Schizosaccharomyces pombe: one gene and its partners. The protein of the gene in region 3 interacts with the protein of the main gene of each other region in a biochemical or structural test. Each region holds a gene or a part of one and is shown on either strand. Other genes may lie near its edges.

Region 1 (3,949 bases), 300 kb from region 3:
CTAAAGTTGTTATTATAAAATTTCCCATTAAATGAGACATACCTGTACGATGAACAAAAGCAATGGGTCCGATGCACTGTAGACAACGACATTATCGCCGTCAAATATGCTTTGCGTTGACATGCCTAACAGCGGATTAGTTGTTATATGAACAAACCGATTGATATTTGAAATATAGTCATTGATGCACCTACTGCTATATTCGATTATATGCGAGTTAAGATAACTTCAATCGACTTAAGTTTGCAATTTTTTATGAACCCTAACACACATTGCATATAGTAATGGCGAGGTGCTAGTTGCTTAGTGGTAAGTTTTTACAGCAATATACCCTCGTGTTTTTAGCGAATAAAAAATTGAGACTTATTAACATGCTATGAGTTTAATTTATTTTAGGTAATGTAAGTTGTGAGACACAAACGGAACCTTCAAATTTAAAAACTGACAAACACCGTCTTAGGGACGGCGAACTCGGGTACCAATTTTATAAGTGTAGCGGATTTACTAATAGAAAGCAGAAACCTATTGAATATTTTTTAATAAATGCAGTACTTTTTGATGAACCGTCATGGTTCCTTTCCTCTAATATGAGCGATTGTTAAAAGTACCCCACAAAACTTTCATATAAGATACTCGAAATTATTTAAACGTGTATAAATTTTATATTGCTTCTCTAAAAAATAAAAGAAAATTGAAAATATTAACATTAGCAGCATATCAGAAGAAACAAGAAAAAGTAATCTTTAGAATACGACACAAATCTGCAAGCAATTAAGGTATTACAGAAATCCATAAAAAATTCCAAATCCTAATTAATGCCAAATTTTCTAATACAGACTTGTTTATCGACACCCAAAAGAAAGTGTTACTTGTAACAACGATTTCGATTTTTTTCAATAAAGTATCGAGAAAAGCAGCATAATCGGAATGAATATGCTAACGTTTTAAAAAAACTATAGCATATTCATTGGATGAGGTTATAAAGGGCTAAAAGTTAACATACAGCCTACGGCCTGTGACGTTGTCAAAAGTTGCGCAGTGAAATTTTAAAGCCGCATTTAGGTATCTAAGGAGTAGAACACATCGTTCTCTGGAGCGTCTATGAAAGAATGAACAAACAACAAACATAATACTGGATTGCAGCTGAAAGGAAAGCTAAAGCGTCCAATGGAATTTCAATACACTGAGAAGCAGCCAAAATCATAACTTACAACTTTCGCAATTAAGGAGAAAGAAATCGAATAATCCCCAAGAATGACAAATATTTTATCGTTAATATAACCCACATCTCTTACAAAACGTGTATTTCTCAAAATCCAAACAGAAGAAGAACAACAGGGAAGCCGAATCAAGAATATCTAAAGGGGAACTATTCTTCATCCGACTCACCGGATCCTTCTTCTTCATCGTCATCGTCAGCAACGACATCTGCAGAATATTGAAGAGCAGGCGCAGGTCCTTCTAATGCAGAAGCAAAGACATCGTGAAAGTCTCCTGGAACAAGGTCAATTGGTCGAAAACCATCGTTGTTGGTAAGAAGCGGATCGGCACCAACCTCCATAAGCATCTCCACTATAATGAAACAATAGTTAGACAAATACACTCAACAAAGCAAACACTATAAACTATCCCGAAGCAAAATCGATGTTTGTGAAATAAGCGGAAGCAAAGTACAAAATTATGAGAAAGTAATATCAAAGAATTGTTTGAATTTTACATAATATAAGCGATCTTGCATACGTTGAATCATTCGTAAAACAACGTAGAAATACACAACTCGACTTTGACCATAACTTCCGAAAATAACAAAGAACACGAAAGCAATGATTAGCACTTCGGCTTGTAAATTCACTTACCCATACGTAAAGCAGTTTCCTGATCTTTTTTTATAAACATAACGGCAAAGTGTAAAGGTGTGTCCCCTGTCATACGACAGCGGTTATTCAAATTTACGCCAGATATATCTAAAAGCCAGTCAAGGCACTCTAGGGAACCATATTTTGTACAGACATGAACACAATCGTTTCCAAGTGAATCACGAGCATTATTGATGAAGCTCACTCCGTCTCCTTCCTGTTGGTGAACAACTTCCTCAAGCATGTCAACATTATTCGAGCGGCAAGCCGCAATTAACATTTCCGCTAAAAAATCGTTAGCAACTTGATACAGCCAATAAATCAAGCAGCGCTCTTACATGGCTTAGCTCCTTCAGTTGACATTCTCGTGACTATAGTGTATTATGTATTTGGTAAGTATGTTAGTTCTTCGGTCCGCTGAATGGATCTCTATATATAAGTGGGGGGCGTGGGGGACGGAAATGTTCGTCAGTTACGAATAAACAAAGCATATACTAAGAAACTGTTTAATCATTACTTCTCCAAATGGTATTGCAATTGATGAATTTAACAGTGGGTTTTCAAAATTTTGAGAACCTATGTTAACCTTTGCTTTGAGTTTATCAATGATTGCAATATGACCTAAATAAAGCAATGAATTAATAAAATTAGTACTTTAAGCACTTAAATTTATTTCTTTTATAACGAAAAACTGTCCTATAGTGACCAAACATTTAGTTCTCATATCCCGGATTATAACCGTTTGTATAACATATCTACGCATTCGACACAGCCAAAAGGCTTCTTCCTCTGAAAGAAAAATAAACAACATAAGTAAAATATATGCACAAAGCAATTGAACAGATGATCTTGGTACAAGTCAACTCTAATAATTTATACGGAATATTTGATAAGAAACTATAGAGTATGAAAAGATGAAAAAAACTGGTAAATAATTGTAATGAAGTAAAAATATGTAAGAATAAGCGTTTTCTGATGATCATTTTAAGAATATGGATTATTGTTATATACCTGTATTGCTTAGACTTCTAGTATCCACATCAAGAGTTTTCATATTTGTTCTTAAAAAATGGAATTCAAGCCTACTATTACTTTCATTCATCTTTTTAATAAACTTGTACGGATCTAATTATCATCATTATTTGAATCTACTCCGGCTAATTTAAGATACAAGATATTTAATTTTTCATATATTATATATATTCTATTAGACACCACTTCTCAACTAACTCCTGATGGTGTAGTTGGTTATCACACCCGGCTGTAATTTCGATGATACCGGTTGGTCGCTAGTTCGATTCTGGCTCAGGAGATCTTTTTTGCTTCCACCTGGTAAACTTTAAAATATAAATAAATATATGTTCAGATCTGATAAACCTTATTGTTGCAATCAATATCTCATTATAAAACGATAGGATGTTATCACTTCAATATTATCTTTCCATCCTTCGTGAATATTCCTAACTCACTTAAACTTTTCTATCAGATGTTTTTAATGAAGCCCTTTAATCAAATTAACAAGGATCCTAAACTACTTTATAAAATATAAGCAACTAGAGCTGACTAAAAAAATAATAATGTGTAGATATCCTTAATTAGGTAGGTATAGGCTCATAAGTATTCAATTAACAACTCTTAAAACCAAACAAAAAAAAAAGAATTAGAAAGGTCTAAACACTATCATTATGTCAGGGTTTCGTCCAAGTTACGCTTTCGATGTTCAAAGGTTTCTTGTAGAAGTTTGCCAATAAGTGGTCTACCTGAGCTTAATTCAATCAGCAACGCGTTTAATCGCTTATAAGCCATGAAAACCAAATCAAAATTTCGAAACTTCAGCCAGACACAATGCTTTGTGAAAGATGACAAAAGGCCAAAAGTCGTAGCATTAAAATTTTCATTAAACTCAAAGTCCAGATACATCTTAATGATTGCAGATGATAGGATACAAAAATAGAATTGGGAATACGGCCAGAAAAAATCAGTAAAATGGGATTCGTTAATGGCTAGAAAATGAGAAACACAACGTTGCACCACGTTCAACATTTCTTGCTGATATACTGCATCTGTCAGTTTAAGTTTCAATGCTGTTTTCC
Region 2 (3,131 bases), on a different chromosome or scaffold from region 3:
GAAGCGGTATCATGAAACTCATAGATATATCATAACAACGATGAATTCATTGATCCTTACCCACATGGACGGTTGCTTTCCTTCTTTCCATCCTCAGATCATCAAAACTAAAAAAAAAAAATAAGATGAAAAGCAAAAAGACTAAAATAATAGGGAATTAAAAAGTTCAGATTATTTCGCACATTTACTATCTCACATCCACCACCATTCAGTAAGTAGTTTCTCAAATAACGATGCAGTCTTTTTCGGTATTTAACAGAAACCTGAAATAAAGATTCCAGAGACATATGATACATGAAATGTTATAAATAAAATGAATTGTATGAAGATAGACACTTTAGAGAATGCGAGAATATTTTGCACAAGTAGCCTATGCAAAGGCGATATGCCACACTTTTCAAAAGTAGTTAAAAGAATGCAGTGTCATAAGAAAAAAGTGGAGGAGTAGAAAGAGTAATTTTAGCAACTATTCTTTATGGTAATCACTCAAGTGAATGATTGAAATGAAAAGAAGAAATTTTCCATAAAAAATTGTGCTAAGGTCTGGATAAAATGGTAATGGTAGGGATAAAATAAAACATTAAATTGGTAAGTTTGGGAACCGAGTTTACCTCCCATTTCCTGTTCCTGAATAACTACAAAACTGTTCTTAAACCATGCTATCTACCAAGTCTTGCATTGGTGCATATTCCTTGTTATCCATAAGGCTGAAATTTGTTGTTAACATCTTTAAGTAAGTAAATTGAAACACATACCCAAATTCCCTACAGAAAAATACAAAGTGTTTAAATGATGTATTCAGATAGCTTTCAAGCTCCATTGCTACCATTACGTGAAAGTGGGAACAGTAAATATGAGCATAAATGCGAAACAACCTTCGAAATATTTGCTGAATCACTTTGCGAAAATTCTTTGGGAATTCAACACCAATCTCAGTGGGGAAGAGCTTCTTGTCATCCAACTTTTCTTGAGTCCAATCCAACAGATTGTTAATATAGTCGGGAGCACTCATGCGAGTGGGTTTGGTGTATATTTTATCATCCTGCCAGTAATATTCATAACTTGGTCCAGCATTCATTTGAGGACAGGAAGCCGCCGTACAAAATTCAGTGATTGTACCATACAACATATTAATTTGTGTATAAAAATCCATTGCTAGAAGTATTCAATTAATAAAAGTTCTTGAAGTGTCAATTTTATATCTTAGCTTACTGTTCATAGCAATCCATTCATTCAAATCTTCTCCCTTGGGCAGTTTTACTGCTTCCATCAAAGAGCCAGATCCCAGCGTTGCTTCAGCATATTGCCGTAGTTGATAATGCTTCGTTCCCGCTTCAGTCTTCCTTACACGGAATGTCTTCGCTGTCTTATTACTAAATCCAAACATGAAAGAAAATGCAAAAAAGTTGGTATGAGTTGGGTTCTGGTAGGCTTGGTTTGTGCCAACCTTCCACTCATCGTCCCTTCCTCGTAAACAAACGTGGTCATTCTACCGTTCAACTTTCAAGACCATCCAGCCAACCAATATTAAGCGCAAATTAATTACTGGAATACCTATCATATTCATACGACCGTATGTTTAGGTCCGAGCACTTTTACAAATTGACAACGTACGATCGCTACTTCTTTACCCACTGCCTATAACCACTGACATTCCCTGAATTACACTTTGGTGCTAAACGTGCGGCTAAGAAATTAAAAAGAAAGCAGAGAGCTTTTAATTTTCTTTTTGGGATTTTTTTTGCTCAAATTGGTGTCTATTTAGTGTTCGTGTACGACTTTTACTGTGCGGTGAGAAACGCGAAAGGGCATCACTAAAACCGACTTTGCTAACTTTCTCTGGATTCTATTTAACAGTCTTTTATTTCTTGAGATTTGATTTAGGTTCCTTTAATTCATTTAGGTTTGACAACATGACATGCAGAATTGCGATTCGCAAGTATTCATTCATATTATGTTTGGCTGTTGGTTCAGTTACCATTTATACCTCGGAAGTTATTGGAACTCCTCTGTATTTTGTCAACAAGGAGCTTTATAACAAATATATTGCTTTTACAAAATCATTCGCCGGTATTCTGTTTACCGCTTTGGTCCAGCTTTTTAGTCCGACTCCTGTAACTCTCACCTATGATCCCGAGCTTCGAAATTTGTTTTATTTGGATAGAAATGGTTGCTTGGAAACAATTGCTGCTGAACGCAACATAGTTATCGCAAACCATCAACTTTACTCGGACTGGATGTACGTTTGGTGGTTATCGTACACTGCTAAACAGCATGGTCATGTTTATATTATGTTAAAAAACTCTCTCAAATGGTTGCCAGTTATAGGTTGGGGTATGCAATTGTTTAGATTCATTTTCCTTTCTCGCAAATGGGACAAAGACTACGAGACTATGTCTCGTCATTTCAAGTTCATTCGCAATGTACGTGATTCCGTCAGTCTCATTCTCTTCCCAGAAGGAACCAACTTGGTTGAAAGCACATATCAAAGGAGCAGGGTGTATGCCGATAAAATTGGAGTCAAAATGCCAAAGCATTTAATGCTCCCACGTGTGCGAGGGCTCTTTTATAGTATCAGTCAGCTTCGTGATTCGATGACTTATTTGTACGATTACACATTTTATTTTTCTGATCCCTCTCCTAAGAAATATGCCGCCGATGCTTTCTCTTTACCTAAGCTCTTTTTTGAAGGAGTCCCCATCAAAAGGCTTCATATTCACGTTCGTCGCTTCCCAATTTCGGAAATTCCCACTGAAGAAGATCAGTTTACGGATTGGCTTTATCAAAGATGGTATGAGAAAGATAAACTTATCGATACGCTTCTTGAAACAGGGAATTTTCCGGGCCCTAAGAAATTGCATACGACTGTTCGATTGAAGCACAGACTTGAAATTCTTTCTTTGTTTTCCGTACTTTTCACGTGCATTGTTGCTGGGTTGTTCCTCAAACTATTCATTTCTCACTAGAAAAAACTGTTATTTATACCCATTTCTTTCCATTTCCCTAAACCATATGGTTGAAAAGTTACCCATTTACACTACATAGATTAACTGATTTTCATGAACATTTTTTAACAGATTGCAAACTGGATTTTCAGTGTTAAGGAATTACCGCATACATTGCGGACGATA
Region 3 (3,682 bases):
CTTAGTCGTAATGAACCCAAATCATCATAAGTGATATCTTCTGGTAATAATTCGTGAAGCGTTTCTACAAATTTAAATTCATTATTCCCAATATTTTTGATAATTAGAGAATTATCATTTCCATTCGACATAGAGCTATAATTAATTTAGTTATGGTAATTGCTAACCCTTGATTCCAAAGTGTTATGTAATACAGCGCAGTATAGAACTCGAAGCTTTTTTTTTGGCAATTTTAAAGAAGAAAATTTCGTATAGTTAGGTACAAGTTTTCGACGGCGAAGGGATATACGAAACCATATAGCGGGTGGTTGATGGTGAGAGGAAGTTAGGTTGGCTTGAATAGCAAGTAGGAGGACATTGAGGTTTAGAACTGATAACTTTGTAAAAACTTTTTGAATATATATGTACCATGATGTTGAATTTTAGATAAGTTTTAACTTCACTAACTTGAACTTTACCGGCGCAGAGCCTTCCTTCTTAGGAAATGTCCATATTCCAATGATGAATTTCTGTTTACGATCGGAATAACTACGTGAAATGCAAAAAGAAAATAAACGATGTCATTTATGAATTTATGTTTAGTTAATACGTATAGCTTAGCTTCGACAAGTGCCGCACAAAATTTCATACTGAGAGATGTATTTGTATAAAGTAATGTATTAAGTACAAAACAAAGCGTATATCTACCAGAGTGAGAAAACGGCTTCAAGAAGTGCATATAACTAGAAAAATGCTAAAAATTTTAACATCGACTAGTATAATGAACAGTAAATCTTGAAGGAAAAAAGAAAAGGAAGATTGAGCTAAATAATGGGCATGGGAATTGCAAGGACATAAATGCAACGTATACAGCGAGTACTAGGCACATACTAGTACGAGCAAATGCATCATATAACAGACAGATGAAGCTTCTAATAATTCATTGTAGGATGCAATAATGCAAAAGTGCGTGGTATTCTCATAGCAATAACGTATATGTTCCCAGACTTAAGGATTCCTTTATGTGTTGAAACAAAGGAAGCGTTAAAATTCATAGGATCGATCATGAGATGAATGGTAACAACAAATGCTACCATAGTTACTTTTGTGACACACCTAGGCCAGCAAAATAAACAACCAAAACGTTGTAATACACTAACTAATGTTTTTCAAAATCATAGACGAAAAAAAAAGTAAAGGACAATAGCCGAGGTTAAGTTGGTAAAGAGATTGTCCAAATTGCGATGGAGAGTGGTTATAAAGAAGAACTAAAAGGGTGGAAACCCCAGCAAGGATATTTTGATTTTTTTAAGGCTTACAAATATTCCACAGAAATTCCAACCCTTCTACTTGGAAGAAATGACACGAGAGAATTCTTCGTAGTTGATTACACCATCGCCATCGGTGTCGGCTTCACGTATCATATCGGCTACTTCTTCTTGAGACAAACGTTCACCAAGACTTGTAAGCACATGAGTCAACTCCTCGACTGTAATGTATCCATTTCCATCTTTATCGAAGACTTTAAAGGCTTCGCGAACTTCCTCTTCGTTGTCGGTATCCTTCATTTTTCGGGCCATCATAGTCAAAAATTCGGTAAAATCAATTGTGCCATTACCATCGGCATCGACCTCATTAATCATATCTTGTAATTCGGCGGCAGTAGGCGATTGACCTAACGATCTCATAACTACACCCAATTCATTGGACGTGATATTTCCATCCTGATCACGATCAAACAGTGAAAAGGCTTCACGGAATTCTGCAATCTGCTCATCTGTAAGGTTACGGGTAGTCTGTAATAATGTACGATACGGTAGACGACTTCAGAAATCATTTTCTGAGTGTCATCCGTTCATACGATTGTTAGTCAATCTTCAAAGGAAAAATCGGAATATGTCCAAACAATATAATAAACATACCATTTTCTGGTAAAAATCAGTAACTCTAAAGTCCTTCTATTCCTTTTTTTAACCTTTATTTTTGGCGGTTAGTGTTTTGCTCTAGTTACGTTAAAGTGCCTTGGAGAAATGAGGACTACCGTTGTCGCTTCCTAATGTTGCAAGTCCTACCATCAACAGTGATGTCAACAAACAATGAGAGTTTATTACATTATCGTATATGCTCTAACAAACCAGTAACGTACTTGCTATAAACCGCACTAAAACCACTAAACGGCGGATGAAGGAACTTTTTCAATGTCAGCTACGCATTTATTGGTATCTATTTAACGACACCTAGAACTGCCGTGTGGTTTACTTGTGACCTATTGTATTATGGTACACAGGTAAATACATTTAGTAACTTAGAATGATATTCTGATATAGAGGTTATATTGTTACCTATCACCGAATTAGCATAAAAGTGAATAGAGAAACGAGGTTTTGTTTATTTCAATTCATAAAATTTAAGCATTCTATTATTTTTTTTGTTATTCATTTTATAACTCTTAGTAATCTACCTAAGTAACTTATCATGTACAGCTTGACAGAGCAAATCAAACATGTGATAATTAGTGATACACAACGTAGTATGCTATAGCGCAACGGAACGTTGTCGACATTCAACTTATATATCGTACTCGATGTTTAAATCGCAAAAGGATTTAACAAAAAATATTTGTAAATGCAGTATTTGGAAATGGTTATTACAGCGCAATTTTTTGCTGAATGTAAACAGAAAATCGTGTTTTTCACTTTCCTCTATGAGGTTGAGTTAGTGATATTATTATTCATGATATGAAAATATTGTTTTCATTTTGATTTATGGAAAATTAATTATTGAGCAGATTTACAAACACTGTCACGGTTTAAAGTCTCCAAATAATTGAGCAAAATGACATAGCTTTGAAAAATTTGCTAAACAAAAGCATTTTTGATAAGTGCAGTTCATTAAAAGGTTTTTTTGCACGTTTATTATGAATTGCATTTTTGTTGTGTAGCATAATCTGCTTTTGTATTTTTTGTATATGCCAATTTTGATCTGATAATTTTTCTAGTTGAACACTCAAATGAAGAAGGAAAACTGAAAAAGTAAATAACAATATATTATTCAAGCAGGATTTCATTGCCTGTATATATTTCGATATTAATTCTTTTCTAAATGATTTATTCAATGTATAAAAATCCAGAACCTCAACATCTGATACAATGACCGTAGCCGAATTTATTGATTTTAGTCTGAACGGATATTTTAATCGAATAAACAATATTTGTTGTTATTGATGTAACACAAAAAAAAATAAAAAAATAAATTCAAATTGAGCATTTTTTTGTCTTTAATAATCATAAATTTAGACGTCTTTTGTTTTTAAAGATTTTATAGTTTATTCTCATAATTTTAAATTTTTGCACTTCCTGTTTAAAGACATCTCTACAGAATGACCATGAAAATTTGAGTATAATTCCTTAAAAGATTCAAATTTATAAATCTCAATTGATTTAATAAAATGCTGTGAAATGGGAAGTTTAACTTTTAATAATTCGAGGTACTCATATCCTTCATAGAAAAAAAATAAAAAAATAAAAATAAAAATAAACATATAAAAAATAAAATAATAAGAATGATCGAGAATTTAAAGTATTTATTGTTGAACTCTATCAGTACGTGTGTTTGAATATTTTCCTACTCAATTCATCTCGTAATTTTGTTGTGCAACTACAATAAATTCCTTATTGAACCACATACCTTTTTAGTAGACTGT

The links.
Region 1: the proteins of cam1 (region 3) and ank1 form a complex in vitro, tested with the Schizosaccharomyces pombe proteins (one study listed by BioGRID).
Region 2: the proteins of cam1 (region 3) and mob1 form a complex in vitro, tested with the Schizosaccharomyces pombe proteins (one study listed by BioGRID).

The regions. Positions count from the first base shown.
Region 1 is NC_003424.3:1,743,379-1,747,327, forward strand, and holds ank1 (ankyrin repeat-containing protein), read right to left. Parts: upstream 2,260-3,949; 5' UTR 2,220-2,259; coding exon 2,195-2,219; intron 2,142-2,194; coding exon 1,857-2,141; intron 1,641-1,856; exon of another isoform or gene 1,573-1,640; coding exon 1,370-1,572; 3' UTR 641-1,369; downstream 1-640. Other genes in the region: potassium ion/proton antiporter Kha1, read right to left, coding at 43-123; dal81 (transcription factor), read right to left, coding at 3,540-3,949.
Region 2 is NC_003423.3:468,739-471,869, forward strand, and holds mob1 (Sid2-Mob1 kinase complex regulatory subunit Mob1), read right to left. Parts: upstream 1,426-3,131; 5' UTR 1,388-1,425; coding exon 1,213-1,387; intron 1,156-1,212; coding exon 756-1,155; intron 708-755; coding exon 650-707; downstream 1-649. Other genes in the region: SPOM_SPBC428.12C (peptidyl-prolyl cis-trans isomerase E), read right to left, coding at 61-91; mlg1 (1-acylglycerol-3-phosphate acyltransferase), read left to right, coding at 1,914-2,966. UniProt on the Schizosaccharomyces pombe protein: Has a role in promoting the onset of septum formation during the latter stages of mitosis.
Region 3 is NC_003424.3:1,443,152-1,446,833, reverse strand, and holds cam1 (calmodulin Cam1), read right to left. Parts: upstream 1,985-3,682; 5' UTR 1,905-1,984; coding exon 1,902-1,904; intron 1,776-1,901; coding exon 1,326-1,775; 3' UTR 501-1,325; downstream 1-500. Other genes in the region: GARP complex subunit Vps53, read right to left, coding at 1-131. UniProt on the Schizosaccharomyces pombe protein: Calmodulin mediates the control of a large number of enzymes, ion channels and other proteins by Ca(2+). Among the enzymes to be stimulated by the calmodulin-Ca(2+) complex are a number of protein kinases and phosphatases.